Linked DNA regions of Caenorhabditis elegans. The protein of the gene in region 2 purifies or fractionates together with the protein of the main gene of each other region. This does not show direct contact. Each region holds a gene or a part of one and is shown on either strand. Other genes may lie near its edges.

Region 1 (8,634 bases), on a different chromosome or scaffold from region 2:
CCTCGTACATTTCTGTAAATTGCGGAAAAAACAGATATTTCCCAAAAACTGCACGAATTAACTTTTTGAAATTTTATCGATAGAACTTGTTGTTTTTTTTTTATAAAATAAAGGATATTTGAAATGAGAATTACAATCATAATATAGGTCTATAAGAAGTTCAGACTTTAAGAGATGTTTGAAACAGTGTTATTTTACTTTTTCCAGTATGCTATCCTATCGATCAGTTGATATTCGAAAATCTTTGCAACTTGAAGAATTGTTACAAAGAGAAGAACTCGAGTTTATAATTGAAGAAGAAGTCGCAAAACAAACAATCAGAACATGGCTGGAAGGATGTCTTCGTAAAATGAGAAATCCAAGTCAAAAAGATGCAGAAGGAGTACTTCCATTTGGTGGAGGACATCCGGTTATTCATTCATCAGGACATTCTTCAATTTCACATGAGGAAACTGTTGCACAAAGACTTCGATTTGAAAATATTCGAGGAGATAGTGTTGATACAGAAGAGACGGAGAGTAGTGAAGAAGAAACTCCACCTCCAATAAGGAAGAAGGCTGCTGTTAAGAATCGAAGAGGAAGTATTCCAGATGTTCTTTCGGTTAGTTTTTGAACTAATATTTGAGAGTCAAAGATTATAAGCCTAACTATTTTTAAATTTCATATCCAATTTTCAGAGAACTGGTCTCTTTCAAGAAGCTGCTCGAAAGTTCATGGTTGGTAGCTCGAGTGAGAAAAAACAAGTCAAGGTATTTTTTGAATTTCTAAGTATACTTTTTAAATGATGAGTGTAGTTTGTAGTTTGTAGTGATTCATGTCCTCTGTACAGTCAGAGTTTTGTTTGGTTTTTATATCCCATCTGAATAACCCCCAAACTAACTAACCCTAACTAGACACTTAACAGTTTTATTAATTGTATTCTTAAAAAATTAAATTTTTACTAATAAATCTATATATGGTTATATCTTACTTTTGATAAAGTTGTAGAAGTTTTTTGATAAAGTTGCAACGTTAGATTAACCGCAAAATTCCATCTTGTTTAATAATTGAAAGAGTAATATTTTTATTTCAAATTTAGTTTTTTAACTGCTTCACACAAAACACTCCCAGCCTCCACCCATTTTTGCCTACCGCTTTTTCTTATTTCCATTGCAGTCGCGATCGCCTGAAACCGTCCAGTTGCTTCCGAAACGAGCTAATTCTGAAATCCGAAAGGGTTCCGGACAGCCAAAGAATTTTCATGTGAGTTCGTGTCAATGCCTTTTTTTATTTTTATTTTTTTAATATCTAGTCTGTGTGTTTTGCAGCTTAAAGTAAAATGTAAAATGTTGTTTTCGTAATAATATATTCCAAATTTCAGCTCCAGCTAAACGTCTATGATCTACCTGACGTAGAAGAACGTGGAGAAGATTCTCCATTTTCTCCCAAAAACTTGTCTGATGATTTTAATGGAGAGCATTCACCATTGGTAATTCTTTCACTTTCATTTTCTTGAAATGGTTTTCAAAACTTGTAGGTGATAACTCCATCCTTGCCTGTACCACCGACACATGGAAGCCCTCGACCACTTATGCCATGTGAAACGACAAAAGATATTGAAAAATGGTGGAATTCCCTTGTTGATTAGTTCATTTTTTAATTATTTACATTCTCTTGTTGATCTATCTTTTTTAATGTATTCAGGTTATATTGTTACGAGGTATTCAAAAACGCTTTACGAATATTAATTGTGCTTTCACCGAATGAACAGATTTTTATTGGTTTCGTATATAAAATTTTTCAGATGTTTTCTTTTCAGGTTTCCAATGTAGTCCTTAATTTTGTACGATTAATCAAGAAAAATGTTTTTATTAGCGAAACTATTAGTGGGTAATTTAATTGATTTTTAGTTAAAGAAATACTTTTTAAAACATCTGAAAAAGCTGTAAAACGACGACTTTAATTTTTTAAATATAAAAATACAGCATTTTTTGTCGAGAAATAAAATGTGTTTCAGTCTGCATTGCGTACACGACACTTTAACGTACGACAATTTGCTAGGCACTGTGCAGAAGGAGGAGACGCAGAGACACATCTGCGGAGCGTCGTAACAAACACGTTTTTCTCTTTAAAATTTTTATTTTCATTTTTTACTACTCGGTAGAATTGTCACATATTTTTCACTTTTTAGGTCAGAAAATGCTTATTGACGAAGTCCTCGGTCCTGCGGAATCTGGAAAATTCATCGTCGAGCATGGAAATCTCGTCAAAATCAACCAGGCAGGCGTTCGAAAAGTAGCAGAACATGTAAATCCTAAAAATAAATGTTGAATGAATGTAGATTAATATTTATAGATTCTCGGAGCTGCAAAAGATGGATCTCTGAAAGAAGCTCTTTTCTTATCGCCGGAATTACACCCGAAAAGTGGAGATAAAGATGCCGTCCAGTGGTGAGAAAACTTAAATTGTAACTATTCCTCAAATCTGATCTTTTTAAATTTGAAATCATATTAAATTGAATTAATTTCAGGGTATTATTGGTGGATACAATCAATTTCTCATTCTGGCCGGATGAGGGAGATCACTATGATGTTAGCTGGGGTGGAAAAGCTTACACTGGTTACTTCGCAGCATGTGCCGCTGTCAACAAGGCTATAGCCGCCGGAATTCCAGTACTTTCTGCTGAATGGATGAAAAATGTTGGCAGAGAAGAAATCGACAGGATTTTCAAATCCGATTCAGGACACTCAATTCCACTACTTGACGATCGAGTGAAGGCTATCAATGATTCAGGAAAAGTTCTTCTCGAGAAATTCGATGGACAATTTTATAATTGTGTTATAAAATCAGAGAAATCCGCTCAAACTTTGCTGAAATTAATCGTCGAAAACTTTGTCTCTTTCCGCGATTTTGCCGAATTCAACGGACAAAAAGTTTCGCTTCTGAAGAGAGCACAGATTCTCGTTGCGGATGTCTATGGATCCCTTCAAGGTCACGATGATGCGGGAAATTTCAAGGATATTACCACGATCACAATGTTTGCTGACTATCGTGTTCCGCAAGCTCTCGCTTATCTTGGTGCTCTGGATTATTCAGAAGAACTTTTGAGCCAATTGGGTGAAGGAAAACGATTGGAGAATGGATCAAAAGCGGAAGTTGAACTCAGAGGAGCATCTATTGCAGTTTGCGATGTAAGATTCCAGATATTTCTGAAATTTTGTTGTATTAAACGCTAAATTTTCAGGAAATTGTCGCCAAGATGAACGAACTTCGTGAAACCGATCCAAGATTCTCTGATGTTTGTGAAGTTAACGCCATGGAAGTTGATGTCTATGTCTGGGGATATCGTCGACTTTATGCTGCGGATGTTGAAAAGAAAGTCCCGTTCCACAGGACTCGCTGTATTTATTATTAAATCTGTATATGTAAATATTAGTATTTAATTTTTAGTGTGAATTCTAGTGATTTTAGCTTTTCGTATCATCTTCTGTTTTCATTCCGTGTTTTTTTTCTTTCACAGGTTTTAAATACTTTATTTAACACATTCCATTGACACTTCACTTTGAGCCTTAATTTGTTATATGAATTTTAACATTGTTTTTATTTTGCTGAATTCTTTTGTTTTGGTTGTATACCAATTTTTTAAACTTATCCTTGTTTTCATTTAGTTCAAATCTTACAATTTTTTTTCAAGAACCATGTTCAAAAAATTCGACGAGAAGGAAGATGTGACAGGCGCTACTCAGCTCAAGTCCAGTGTTCAGGTATCATCTTTAATTTTAATTAACTAATAATTATAAAAATTTTTAGAAAGGAATTCGCAAGAAGCTGATCGAGAACTTCCCCTACTTGGAGCCACATCTTGAGGAGATCCTCCCGAAAAAGGAGAATTTCAAAGTGATCAAATGCAAGGATCACATTGAATTGCTCGCCGATCATCTGGGTGTCGTGCGATTTGTTAAAACACGTAACACTGATTACATTCCAACTTTGAGAACACTTCACAAGTATCCATTCATTCTTCCACATCAACAGGTTGGTTATAAATTGATTATTTACCTGGTTCAACATTTCCATTTATTGATGAAAATTCAAATTTCAGGTCGACAAAGGTGCCATCAAATTCATCCTGAACGGATCTTCAATAATGTGTCCTGGATTAACATCGCCAGGAGCTAAACTCACTCCTCTCGTACCAAAGGATTCAGTGGTTGCTGTGATGGCTGAAGGAAAGCAACATGCGTTGGCAATTGGTTTGATGTCAATGAGCAGTGAGGAAATTCAATCTGTGAATAAAGGAAACGGAATTGAAAATCTTCATTATTTGAACGATGGGCTGTGGCACTTGGCTGAAAAATCGTTGAACTGATGTGCTCGAATTCCCGGTCGTCGTGCTCTTTATCAGACTTCCAATAATTTGAGATGATCTTTATTTTATATGTCCATTTTGGGATTTAATTTATATTTTCATGCACTTTCTTTTGTTGTATCTTTTCCTTTTCCATCTCGATTCTCATAAAATTTCCAAAGTTTTCCGTCGAGTTTCTTGATTCTCTTTTCTTCCCTTTCAATACGCCACGCTATTTCTTCCAGTTGAGATTCCTCATTTTTGCGAACTTGCCTGCAATTTCTCAACATCAGAGCGAAACAAAACAAACTTCACTTACTGATTCGCGTGATGAGTCTGTCGTAATGCGTGAAGTTGAGTTGTCAAGCTGCTCAACTTAAAGGCTTTCTCCGAGAAATCATCGACTAAAACCTGAAAAGAATTGTCCAGAGCACATTGATACTTCTCGGTTACTTCATTGCAAACAGCCAAGCATCCAAGAGCCTCACTGATTTTATTATTCTGCTGCTCAATGTTCCTGGAAAAATTATTTTTGCATTAAAGTACACATGAGCAAATATTATCTCGCTAGGTATTTGGCGGGAAAACTGAAAATTCGAGCGATTTCTAAATATAATTATTACCATTTTCTAATCATTCTCCGTCTATTTTGATGTGTTTCCTGCTGGCCTAAACATGCATTTATAACAATTAATTCGGCACGAAAATCATTTAACAAACAACAGAAAAAATAACAAAAATGTTTGATAGCTGACAAAATCGGCAAAACTAACTGAAAAGTTTAAATTTACAGTCTTGGCACCTAATACGAGACCCAACTGTGGGAGGCGGGGCGGTTTTAATTGGCTGTGGAGCGCGTTTCCACATCGATTTCAAAGGGAACATTCTGCTCCTTTGAAATCTCTTCTGCGTCCCCATAATAACTCACAATTCAATAGCATCAAGAAGTCCCCGCTTCTCGAAATAGTTTGTTCTCTGAGCATGTAGATTTCCCTGGATTTTCGCAAATCTAAATTGAAATTTCTGAAAAGAACTTTCTCAAACCAGGTACCGGATATCTCGTCGCGATACTACAGTAATCTACAGTTCATCATACTCCGGCAACAGTATGATCGCTATGAGATATTATCGAAAGAATACGATCGCACAATTTTCTCATAATTTATTTTTGATTTACCTTGTTGACTAGGCTCCTCCTCTTCCTTTGACAAGACAGCCACAACAAAATAACAACGGCAACAAGATCAACAGGTAGATCAAAAATATATTATGAGAAATTTGTGCGATCGTATTTTTTCGATAATATCAGGGAAGTGATTATGTTCAGTAATTTTTGTAATTTATAAATTTTGGAAGATTTCACAAAAGCTATTAAATAACTTTTTTGCGGGACAAGAGACTAATTGCAAATTTTTTAAAGCTTTTGTTTATCTCAACCGGTGAAACAGTGAAAAAGCTTATGAAACATTTGTGAATTTTTATACTTAAAATTCTCATCAATTCAATCTCACAACACGAATATGTGTAGAATTCGAAGCCGAAAAAAATATTTTTTTTAATTTAGCCGCCTTAAAAATTCCAAAGATAAATTCCAAGAATAGTCGCGGACTTCGTGATGAAAAAAAAAATTTACTGTTTCAGAACTTTAATATCTTTTCATATAATCAGGATAAAACATTCAACCACCATTTTTTGGAAGATCCTATAGAATACAAATCGAAAAAAATGTTGTTTAATAGTAAACTTACGAACTGAACGCTCTGCTCAAATAGTCAACATCGTCCATTTTTGGTTTTTCACTGATATAGTTTGAAAAATATTGATTATCAATGCACAATGACGGTGTAATTGTTGGAATCGGAGGAAGTGATGGTCCAGGATCAGATGGTATGGGTTCATCTTCAGAAGGGACAGAGGTTACTTTCTGTAATATGAAAAGTTTCTAGTTTTCCATAGATATTTTTAATTACTCATGTTGTGGTTATTCTTCACAATAAACAAAACATTCAAGCGGGTCTCACAGCGAAATAAATTTTTTAAATATTAAACATTAAGTTTTCAGTCAAAAAATGTACTGTTACGTTGAAATGTTACTATTATTCAGATAACTTACTTGACCTTGTTTCCCTTTTGACTGAATAGAAGGTAACTTCACATATGAGATCCTCCTCGTTGATTTCTGCCATCTCAGTGTTGATGAAGAAGCACCAGGTTTGTTAGAACCTTCAACAAAATTTAATTTTATCACAGGTCTAAAGAGAAAACGTAAGAAATATAACTTTCTTACCTGCAATCGATGGGAACATTGAAACTTTTGAAAAGCAAAAATAAACTCAAATTTTGAGCAACATTTTGAGCAGCAGTGAAAGGTTACTGAACCAGTTTCAAATTTTATTTAGTGTCATGGCATGGCTCTGGTTGAGTTGCAAAATTGTCCAGTGAACTGGAAGCATAATTGGCAGAAAATAAAGGCTTGAGTGGAAAAAAAAATTAAAAAGTCAGGGCCAAAAGTGATTATGAATACGGATTTTTTGAAATTGCACGTTCATATATGACGTCACGCCTCTGCACGCCACTTTAAAATTCACGTATTTAGACAGCTTCAGATACCCACCAAAATGAGAGACACAGTCTCCTCCCAGCTTCTTCCTCTGCAAAACACCGAACAACAATTTACAAAAACAACAATTTACAAAAAGTTGCCGGTGTAGGCATTAGGAAGACGAATATTAGGGCCAGGAAAACGTCCCGTTCTCATCAAAGGGGATGTCTAGTGAACAACAATAAAACTGAAAATATTCGAATAGATTAAATTTGGTATCATTTGGAGTTATTATTACTATAAATATGAAGTACTTGAATCACTACAATAGTCGCATAAAAACTGAGATATGAATAAGTCTTTTTACATTCAACAATTGAATGTCAAATTACCATTCAATATTTGCTTTCTGGACATTAACCATGCACTTTTATTCACTGTCATGAGTTTTCTCTCGTGATATTATTCACACAGCTTTTGTCCCTATCAAAAGAAATACGCGACTGTCACATTTATCTTTGTTTTGTCTATTTGCAAGTCAAATAAGTGTTCTACATTGATGCGCAGACACGAATGTTGGAATTAAACAGTTTTACAGAAAAATGGTTTACCTATAGGCTTACAGGCTATTATCTAGTCCTTGAAAATTAACGGCATCCAAGATTTTTATTCAGACAGGTTTTATGTTAAAGAGAAATAATCTTTTTTTGGGTCTATGTCTACTTTGAACATTGAAAACCTTTGAAAGGAAAGTTATATGGACCATACAAATAAAAACTTATTTTTTTTCTAATCATTGTAAGACAGGTCGTACAATTGGAAACAATTCGATTTCACCGCACCTATACCGTGAATATGAAACGATTTTCGATATTTTATAAACCCCTGAAAAGAAACGTGTGATTACTCAAATCGTTCAGCTCCCTCATTTTTTTTCCGATTTTGCCATTTTCTTACTTTAAATTTTAAAGTTTTGTTTCGTTTCACATTTTCCGCAAGGCTATAATTTTACGAGTGATCTACCCACATATTCAACTTCTTGATAAAAAATGTATTTTGAATTTGTTTTCTGTCCAATTGACCAATTTAAATGCTTGAAACTCCTATATACTTTGCAAAAAAAATTAATGTTTTTCATACATCATAAAACATATTCCAAACTCAGTTGAGAGTTAAATATAGAGTTGAATTTTGAATTGAGATCTGGAAAAATTTGACGTCAGAGGCATCTTCTTGACAAAACGTCGCAAGTTCATAGCAAATTTTTGCAATTTAGAAAATTAATTCAATAGAAATTTAAAAAATGGTCTGAAAATCTTTAGAAATTTGTTGAAAATTTAAAGTGCTCAACAGTAGTTGCAAGAGTACGCTAACAAATTGGACCGATTTGCCGAGTTCTTTTTTTGGGATTCTTGTTGAAAAATGATTGCCGCAAATTTAAGTGATTTGATCTTTGTGATACAGTAACCCAAGACATATGTCTACGTTACTGACAGCATTGATTTGCATATAGTGTATAGAATATGCACAGTCTGAAAATAGAACTATTTTCTTTGAACTTTGTAAATCAAATTTAATTATCCTTTAATTATTATTTTTTTTTAAATTATAATTTAAATCCCTGTAATTTTTGTCGGTTTCAAGAGTCCCATATTACCATTTACACGCTTTCTTTCAATTGTCCATAATTATTCATGAATTTTATTTTCTCCGCCCATTCGCTTTTGCCCACTATACTCAGTTGATGTTTCCATTTTCTTTTGTG
Region 2 (8,499 bases):
AGGGGATTCCCAACTAAGCCATGAAACAAATTACCGTTATGTTAATTAAATCGAAGTAGGCATGCTCACACATCTGATCATATGTTTTCTCTTGATGCCTTCCAACGCCCATTCATTTTTCCCACCAGATCAACTCGGATTTTGCACATCATCGAGTTTTAGTGAAGTTTGATGCTTTTAAAGATTTATTTCATTCAGTTTTGTGTTAGTCAACCAAAGTCCATTATGTACCCTAAAAAAATGACTGTGTAATATTAGAAGAAGAAAATTCGAGGATCGCATCGGCTTGGAATCTATTTGCACTCTTTATTTTGTTCTCACTTCCTTGTTTTGAGAATATTATTGTAGATTCCAAGAACGCGAGAGTCAACTAGTTTCCAAAGAATGCTCGTGAGAAAACGCCTGAAATTGTTAATACTTACTGCACGTGTGCAATAATGCAACAGATCGCATGTTAGAACCATATAGTTTCATCTTAGAGTAATGATTCGTACCCAATTTGCAGCACGTATACTACTTGTACAGCGACCCAACGACCACCTCATCAATAACAAATGAAAATGTGAACAAACTACTTGTCATAGACATTCCATTGTCCCGGCAATTACTTACATAATCTGGGAGATGTTTTGAAAATGACGTGAAGTTAAGTAAAATCCTATTTTGTTTAACGCTTCGAATAAGGTTTTAAACCAAAAATTTGATGCGTTTGTACTTTACTACAGTTCTGACTTTAGTTGGTGGGGCTAACAAATCCTAATAAATTTTATTGATGAGTTTAAAAAGAACAAAAAGAAAACACAAGCCCACGCAACTGATATAATGTATTTTGAAGTTTTCTATTTTTTCAATCGAAAATGTTAAGCGCTTTTTCATAAACCCTTAAATCGTAAAGTAATTATTTTCTTTTTTAGATAAATGTCTTTTATATGATCCCTTTCCTACGTGAATTCCTGGTTTATTTTTGCATTATTTTGATCCAAAGCAATACTTGAACCCTACACAAAATACGTATCGTTATAATAGCTCCATTGTTTTCGGCCCATATCAACACTTCAAGTTGATTGCAGCTGCTACTACTTGTGTTGTGAATATGGAAATATTAGCGTAGAGTTGAAATAGCTAATCGGTAAATAATCTAGCAGAGCTTCTTAAAATAAGGTATGAAAACCTGCTCTAACTGATTAAAAATATAACCAAAGTCCTAGAGGACTACAAGAAATAGTCTTATGCCATGAAAAAGATCTCAAATTACAGGGAAAGAAAACAAAACACACTTTTTTGATCTACTCATTGTGTAACTTTTCTCATTGTCAAATAAAACTTGGTTCTACTTTGATACAATTTCCTAGTTGTAATTTACGTGTGTGGTTTGTCTCACTTCCGAGTAATATCTAGAAATTACGATAATTTCTAGTCCATGGGAAACTGTGAATTAGCTTATTTTTGCTTTCGTTGGTTATAAAAATAAACTTGGCAATTAAGCATAAAATTCTGAATATCGATTGAAAAGTAAACACGGTGAAATTAGTTTCAAAACAAAATCTCAAGTAAAAATTATGCAGGTAACCAATGAAATTAAATCTACAGATTCCAACTATTGGCTGCGGAAAATGTAGTTCTGTCTGAAGTTCGAAATTGTTCAATTTTTTAAAAAGGGGTTAAAAGAAGTTAAATTTATTAAATCCGGAATGAAAAATATTTGGGACAAAAAAAGTCGTACGAGCTGTTCAAAATTCGAATACGAATTTTCCAGTATAGTTCGAAGTATAGAGTAGTATAGTAAAGGTAGTAGAGAGTATAGTATAGATCGACTACACTATTTCTTTGAAATTTCGAAATATACATATTTTTAGCGCACTCTATTGGAAAACATTGAAACTGTGAGTGAGAGAAAAAGGAAACTTTGTGTATTCCTAAATGTTTAATAAACTCCAAAACATGATTATTTTCATTTCAATAAAATTTACTGATACTAAATTCACTTATAATAAGGAACTCCGGTACTAGTGTTTTATTTTTCCTGATTAAAAATAAATAAAATTATAAATAAAACGTGTGTAGTTTTTTGTATTTTTAGGCTTAGGAAATCTCTATTTCTAAACCAAAAGAGGGAAAATGGACATAAAGTTTCATTAAAATTAATAATTTTATACTGAGGAGAAATAACACACAAGTACCGGAACTTCCAACTGTTCAATGATATTTTGCATGTTTGATCCAGCTTCTCCGAGAAATAAAGTTCAGACAAATTGATTCCTCTCAGACCTCCAAGCTCCAATATAATCTTCAAAGTCGCTTATTCATAAACTTCTCTTGCTGAAAATGACATGACATCATTTGAATTAGAGTCTGTAGGTTGGATGAATGACGCAAATTGTAGGGACTTTGAATTTTCAATAAATAATTTAAAATTCAAGTTTGGATTCTAACAAGATTCTGAAATCCAAGATACTACAAACTCAACATTTTCGACTACCATCTTGAGTTTTTTTTTTCCTAAAAACGAAATTCAATTATAACAAACATCCGCTTTTTGGGACACGTAGAATGTAGTGAGGAATACAAAATGAAAGCATGTGCTTCATCTGAATCACCCAGCTAGTTTGCTCTAGAGTTTGCGGTATCGAAAATGCACCGAGTGCAACATTGTCTGCTGTAACATTGGCATATTTCAATGTTACTTTTATAATCCAATAGTGCTTGACGAAATGTGTAAGATGAATAATATCACTTTCTTCAAACTTTCGGTGTGGATTTGCTATTTAAATCCTATATTTTCGAGAACAGCGTAGGGGGATTGAGCTATTTTTGATATTCATTTAAATAATCCCGAGTACGTTACGCAGTTTGATATTTTCAATGAAGTGCCGTGAGAGTTTACACGGAAGTTGAGAGGTTAGATCATATACATACTTTATAATCAAATCGAAATAAACACGGACGGTTATAGAAAACTATAATCATTATGCTAAACATTGAGTAAATTAATTTAAAATTGCTTGGATTATTCAATTGAAGTATTCAAGTAAATTAAAAAAATCGAAAATTACAACAACAATATTTTCCTATTATTACTTCTTAAGTGAAGGAGTTAGTGGCTCTGGTATTTTTGAATTTTTAACGTTCAAATTTACAATTTTCTAATTTGTCGCAAAAAACATGGCATATCTATTGATGAAATGCAACTGAAATAGAACGCAACTGTAAGAAATAAACAATTCTGATATTTTTTGTGCATTTTTTTTTCGCTCTTTTTTTTAATTTCCAGTTCATCCTAACAATACGCATTAACCATGTTATTTTTTGGTTTTGCATAAAATTACTCAAATTGTATTATTTTGTTCATGTTAGGTCAAAAGCATGCAATGAATTAATTTTTGTATAATGGTTGTTGTTGTGAATCAAACAAAAAAGCTTTATTGAAAGCGTTCTAATTGTAAAACCCGTATTGGGACCACAAAAAAACAAAGAGACAAATGCTCGATAACTGATTTATTGAACGGGGGAAAGGAAGCTCAATAAATTACAATAAAAACAGAAATTTTCGACTCAAAATCTGTTGAGCCATTGGAGGAATCGGTTGTCGCCGTTACGTTTGATAAGATCCGTATATCCCCATGGAGAGGTAAGCATAGTGTCAACACTCCGGCGAACTTGGGTAGCGGTTGGAGAATACACACCGTGGAGTGATTGAACGTCTTTGTGAGAATCGGTCATAGGCAGCATACATTGGACCGGCGTGAAGAAACAGTTTCGAGCATGTTCACTAAAATTACAAGTTTAATTTGGAAATTATTATGTTTAGAAGTAGTGCTGTAAAAAAAATAATGACAAACTTACGTTTCAAAATTATTGATGTTTCCACTTTCGAGATCGTCTTTGGGCCCCTCAAAAGCGGTTGGAATCATTTCATTATTTTTTCCGTCATTCATTGCTTGATAGTTCGTAGGGTTCCCCATTGCTGATTCGGACCTCGTAGCAAAAAAGCTATGTGGCATGAGAATATTGGATGCACATGGAACGGCGAATACAACTACGATGATAAAGAAAGAGAACGACATTCTGAACTGCGTATAGTTTTTAAATAAACCGCTAATTGCAGAAAAAATAGGTGCTCAAGAAAAGGGGGCGGTGCTCAGCAGGAAGACTGAACGTGGAGCGGCTAGAGCTGGAGCCGAAAATGAATGGGAGAGATATTGAAAAGCACCGCCCTTTATAGCCGCACTTACAAGGAAAGGGGCGAGGCCTAGGATGATCTGGATTTCTGGATTTCTCAGACGCTAGAAACTACAAATGATTTTTTGAGGCGAATGATGTTTCCAATTTTATGAAAATTTGAATGAATCACAACTCATTGCTTAAGGTTTGAATCAAAGAAGTTTTGAAAAATGCAGAAATCAATGTGTAGTTCAAAATGTTAAAGTAGTTTTGTCATGAAAAAAATTATTTTGCAAAATATAATGGATAAGCAGTCGGATGGAAAAATTGTTGTTGAATTATTCACAAACGTTTTGTGCACCAAGAAAGGTTGTTGAAAAATGCCGAACAAAAAACCAAGCTAAAATGTTTTATGTGGCTTTTTGGAAGTTCTTGATAGATTGTTTGATTTTCGAAAAATTTATAGAAAATATCAAAATCATAACTAAAATGTTAAAAAGATCGTCTGTATAGTTTTAAACATATTTGATTTTTGGGAGCAGGTTGAATAATTGAACATGGACATTTTATTTTACAAATTATTATTTTCAAAACCATTGTTGTTTTCTCAATACTCTTTTTTTATATATGGACAAAGCTATTCAGGTTTTTATTAATATTTCGTGATTTTGCTTCCAAACTCTTTTTTCCATGTTCCTGTTCTTCCAACACAAATTTCGTTTTGTTTTAGCAGCCAGAGCAATTAGCGAAGAAAAGTTGGGTTAATTGTTGGTGGACAGAGCAAAAACCAAACAGAAGTGATGTGTACAAAATCATCAACTGGAGGTGTTTCATTCAAAAAAACAACTAGTCCATTCATTCATTTTGCAGATTTAATCCGTTCTTGGTGGTGAAAGGAATTTCGGGTATTTTATCATTGCTGACCAACAACATACTAAAATTGTGATTCCATAGTATCCAGATATAATCCAGTAATTCCCGATTAAAAAGTAAGAGTAGGCGTTTTTGACCAAAATACCTCGTCTATCTCATTACTGATAAACTTTGTCATATCAAATCAATTATCCCAAAAAATGGGTTTTCAAATTAAATTTTATTGGTGCTCTATCAAAGAGCAAAGTTGAAAATTTCAACGTTGTACTCAATCATATATTCATTATAAAATAAACAAATATTTTGAAAACCATAAATTATTTCTAAACCTCAAAAAATTGTCTCGAACGATTTTGAACAACAATTAGAGCTTCCATCTGATGAAGACAATCAACTTTTTCAAAAAACTGCAGTTATCAAAGTTGGATGGTTAAGTACTTTCACCATTTTTATCAAGAAAAGTCTAAAAAACCGGAAAAACATCAATTGGACTTTGCTACTGTATTAAATGTATTATACTTGTGTAGTATACCTGTCCCAAAAAATGTTAACCATTTTGAAAACTTTACGTGACACCTTATGAGCTTAGAAGTAGTGTTTTCAAAACATAAAATTGCAAATCAAATTCTAGTTTTGGTTAAATTATCATTTCTTTGGACATTTTATATAAGTTCCTTCCAGCATAACACGAAAAAAGGTGCTAATGGATTTCGTGCATTCAAAATGTTCGTGCCTCAAATTGCTTCAAAACTTTATTTTTGGGCTGAAAAAGAAAAAGTTTAAATTATACTCTCTCAGACTTCTTAACAAGACACATGTTATTTGGAAGTAATCACTTTTCGAGGCCCTAAGTATTGTTCGAAAGTTGTTTATGCAGACGCTCAACGATTTGAAGGCTGTTTTCAAGTAGGTGAACATTCTGGAAGTTTTGGGAAATAACTTCTTCTTTGAGTAAATCCATCTTTCGATTTTTTCAAAAAATGAAATGTTTCTAAAAAGCTTCAAGAAAGTTTGTTTACCTATAAACAATCTAATGTAACGTTGTATACTGAATTAGCATTGAAATCTATGGAAAACAGATTTTGATGCGACTGTACTCCCTCTTTCTAAACAAATACAGAGAAAATTGTCAAATCTAAACGCAATGAGTTGGTCGTCATTCTTTGCCAATGCTATTAGAACACTTTTTGCTAATTAATGAAACACATCAACTTAAACGGTTTCTGACCACATTTAACTGGAACATTACAACACATTTATAAATTTACTTGAAAATTTTGAAATAATAAGTTTATGTTTTTTTCTTTAGTTTTTGAATCATAATTCGGTTTACTTGGAACAAGGTTCTCTGATGTTCTTAAGTGAGATCTACTTCTAAGATCGTTCTTTCCTCAAAGCAAATTGTTTTCCAAATTTGTTGTTGAGTGGTAGCTGATTCACGATATGCCTCGAGTGATTCAAAATGCATTATATTCCAATAAGAAATACAAATTACAAAACTTGTAAACAATGATTTTTGGAAATTGTAAAAACACAAAAACAACCGAAAAATATGTTCCATTCTTCAGCTGCTAGATGTTTTGAAAATTTTACTGCTATTTTTATAAAATTACGTCAGATACATATTAATTCTGTAAAACGAATGAATTAATTTTGTCTACGAGCGAGGTACAACACACGAAATAGTTTAAAAGTCATACCTAGGAACTTACTCAAATTTTGTGGACACACCAAAGCAGGTGCTCGGACACATTTTTTTCAGAAATGTCAACCAATTTCGTCACATTAGAAGCACTGGAACCTTTACATATTGTTTGTTTGATACTCAGGTGAAGCTAAGTTCTTGAATGAATGTGCATGTCAAGAATCAGACTATAGTGAAAGGGACATAAAAACATTCAAATATACTATTTAAATATGAATATTTATTCAAAAGTTTATTTTATATAATGGCTAAACTGTTTGGCTTAGTTAAACAAGATATGTGAAAAATTAAATGCTTCCAAAAAGTTTCCAGAAAGATTGCCAACTTTTAAACAATCTAACCAAACATTGAATATTGAATTAACATTGAAAATTATGGAAAACAGCTTTGATGCGATTGTATCCGTCGCACAAATTGAAACTTAATTGTAACTTTGCAGAAGAATCAGATTAAAATGTGTAAACTTGATTCGATTTTCGAAAACAAAAATCATACTTATCACGTTTATTTATACATTCACACTTTTATACATACATTACTAGTAACTCTATATTCAGATAGTCCATAGATGGGAAGGCACATATAAATGATTGAATACAAATATTAGCAACGGGTTCAAATACAATAATCACTCAGGACAGTTTGGACAAGAAATTGGGGAAATGTCATTTTTACAAGCGTTAAAGATTTACAAGCACAGTGATTTGTACGATTTGTCATCTAGAACAGGGTTCATTTGATTCGTGTTACGCTGAATTGTTACAATAACAAGCTCTTCGGAACGACATCTTGCCTTTAGCCAGTCAAAGTGAATTGCCTGCGCTTCCATATCAAGTCGGCACCAGCAAATCTGAAAATTAAAAGATTGTTAATTAATAATTTGGTTTGCATTAAATCTCACTCGTTTCAACAGCGCATTTTTTCTAATCCATAATCCAAAGCCAATTCTCTCTGCGTACACCGAAAGAATCACTGCTGTTCCATAGGACATTCTTTCACGACAGGCAAGCCGCTCCAAGTTCGGGCATCTGTAAAGAAAAAAGTTTAAAACCGCATACGTCACACGAGCAAAAGCAGTTTTCAATTGATTTTAAAGATCTACAACAACTTCTACGTCAGTCAATGCTTACACCAGTCTAATCGTTAAGTATGTATTTTAAAACAGAAAGTCTGTCAGACATAAAGGATTTGAATATTTTTCTTAAATTTTTTCATTCTTAAAGATCCACCCACGGTTTTGTTGGAACTAAATCAAGTTTTTCATCAATAAATCTAAATCGACAAGGAAATTGCTTAACGGAACCGACGAGTTACTAATTTTTAACTTTGAGATTGTTTAAATGAAAGTTTTGCACAAATTTCCTCTTACTCTGGAAAACCGTTGATGATTTAGGAATGTACATGATTGAAGTTTAGAAAAGATACAAACAACACCGCCCAATATGCTATTTGTTTTAGATTTTCGGTAATTCACTTCTGTAGTTCACCTGGAACACCTATAGCTCAAATGCTATAATAGTAAGTCACATATTTTTCAACAAAACGTCAATTTTACTATATTTGTGGATTTTCTAAACTATATATATATCTTTTCCGAAAAAATTATAGCAACTGACACTAATTTTTTTTTTCAAAATTCTTGTTATAAGTCTGAGTAGATGATATTTCTAACGATTTTTGTGCACTTTAATTATGCTACAATAATTTTGAAGCCAATAAAAAATTCTGTACCTGCTAACAATTTCAATGAGCGCGGAGTC

The links.
Region 1: the proteins of nlp-91 (region 2) and C11D2.7 fractionate together in Caenorhabditis elegans (co-fractionation; one large-scale study listed by BioGRID). This does not show direct contact.

Annotation. Positions count from the first base shown.
Region 1 is NC_003282.8:6,150,436-6,159,069, reverse strand, and holds C11D2.7 (PUA domain-containing protein), read left to right. Parts: upstream 1-3,673; 5' UTR 3,674-3,677; coding exon 3,678-3,743; intron 3,744-3,789; coding exon 3,790-4,014; intron 4,015-4,081; coding exon 4,082-4,348; 3' UTR 4,349-4,446; downstream 4,447-8,634. Other genes in the region: unc-77 (Sodium leak channel NALCN), read left to right, coding at 208-601, 678-749, 1,156-1,242, 1,361-1,468, 1,517-1,627; C11D2.4 (Queuosine 5'-phosphate N-glycosylase/hydrolase), read left to right, coding at 2,179-2,286, 2,335-2,429, 2,510-3,170, 3,224-3,394; C11D2.3 (BLOC-1-related complex subunit 5), read right to left, coding at 4,447-4,600, 4,647-4,844, 5,256-5,336, 6,076-6,251, 6,441-6,550, 6,615-6,633.
Region 2 is NC_003284.9:8,220,839-8,229,337, forward strand, and holds nlp-91 (Neuropeptide-Like Protein), read right to left. Parts: upstream 4,179-8,499; 5' UTR 4,065-4,178; coding exon 3,844-4,064; intron 3,770-3,843; coding exon 3,553-3,769; 3' UTR 3,477-3,552; downstream 1-3,476. Other genes in the region: K02A6.3 (F-box domain-containing protein), read right to left, coding at 7,428-7,589, 7,641-7,767, 8,471-8,499.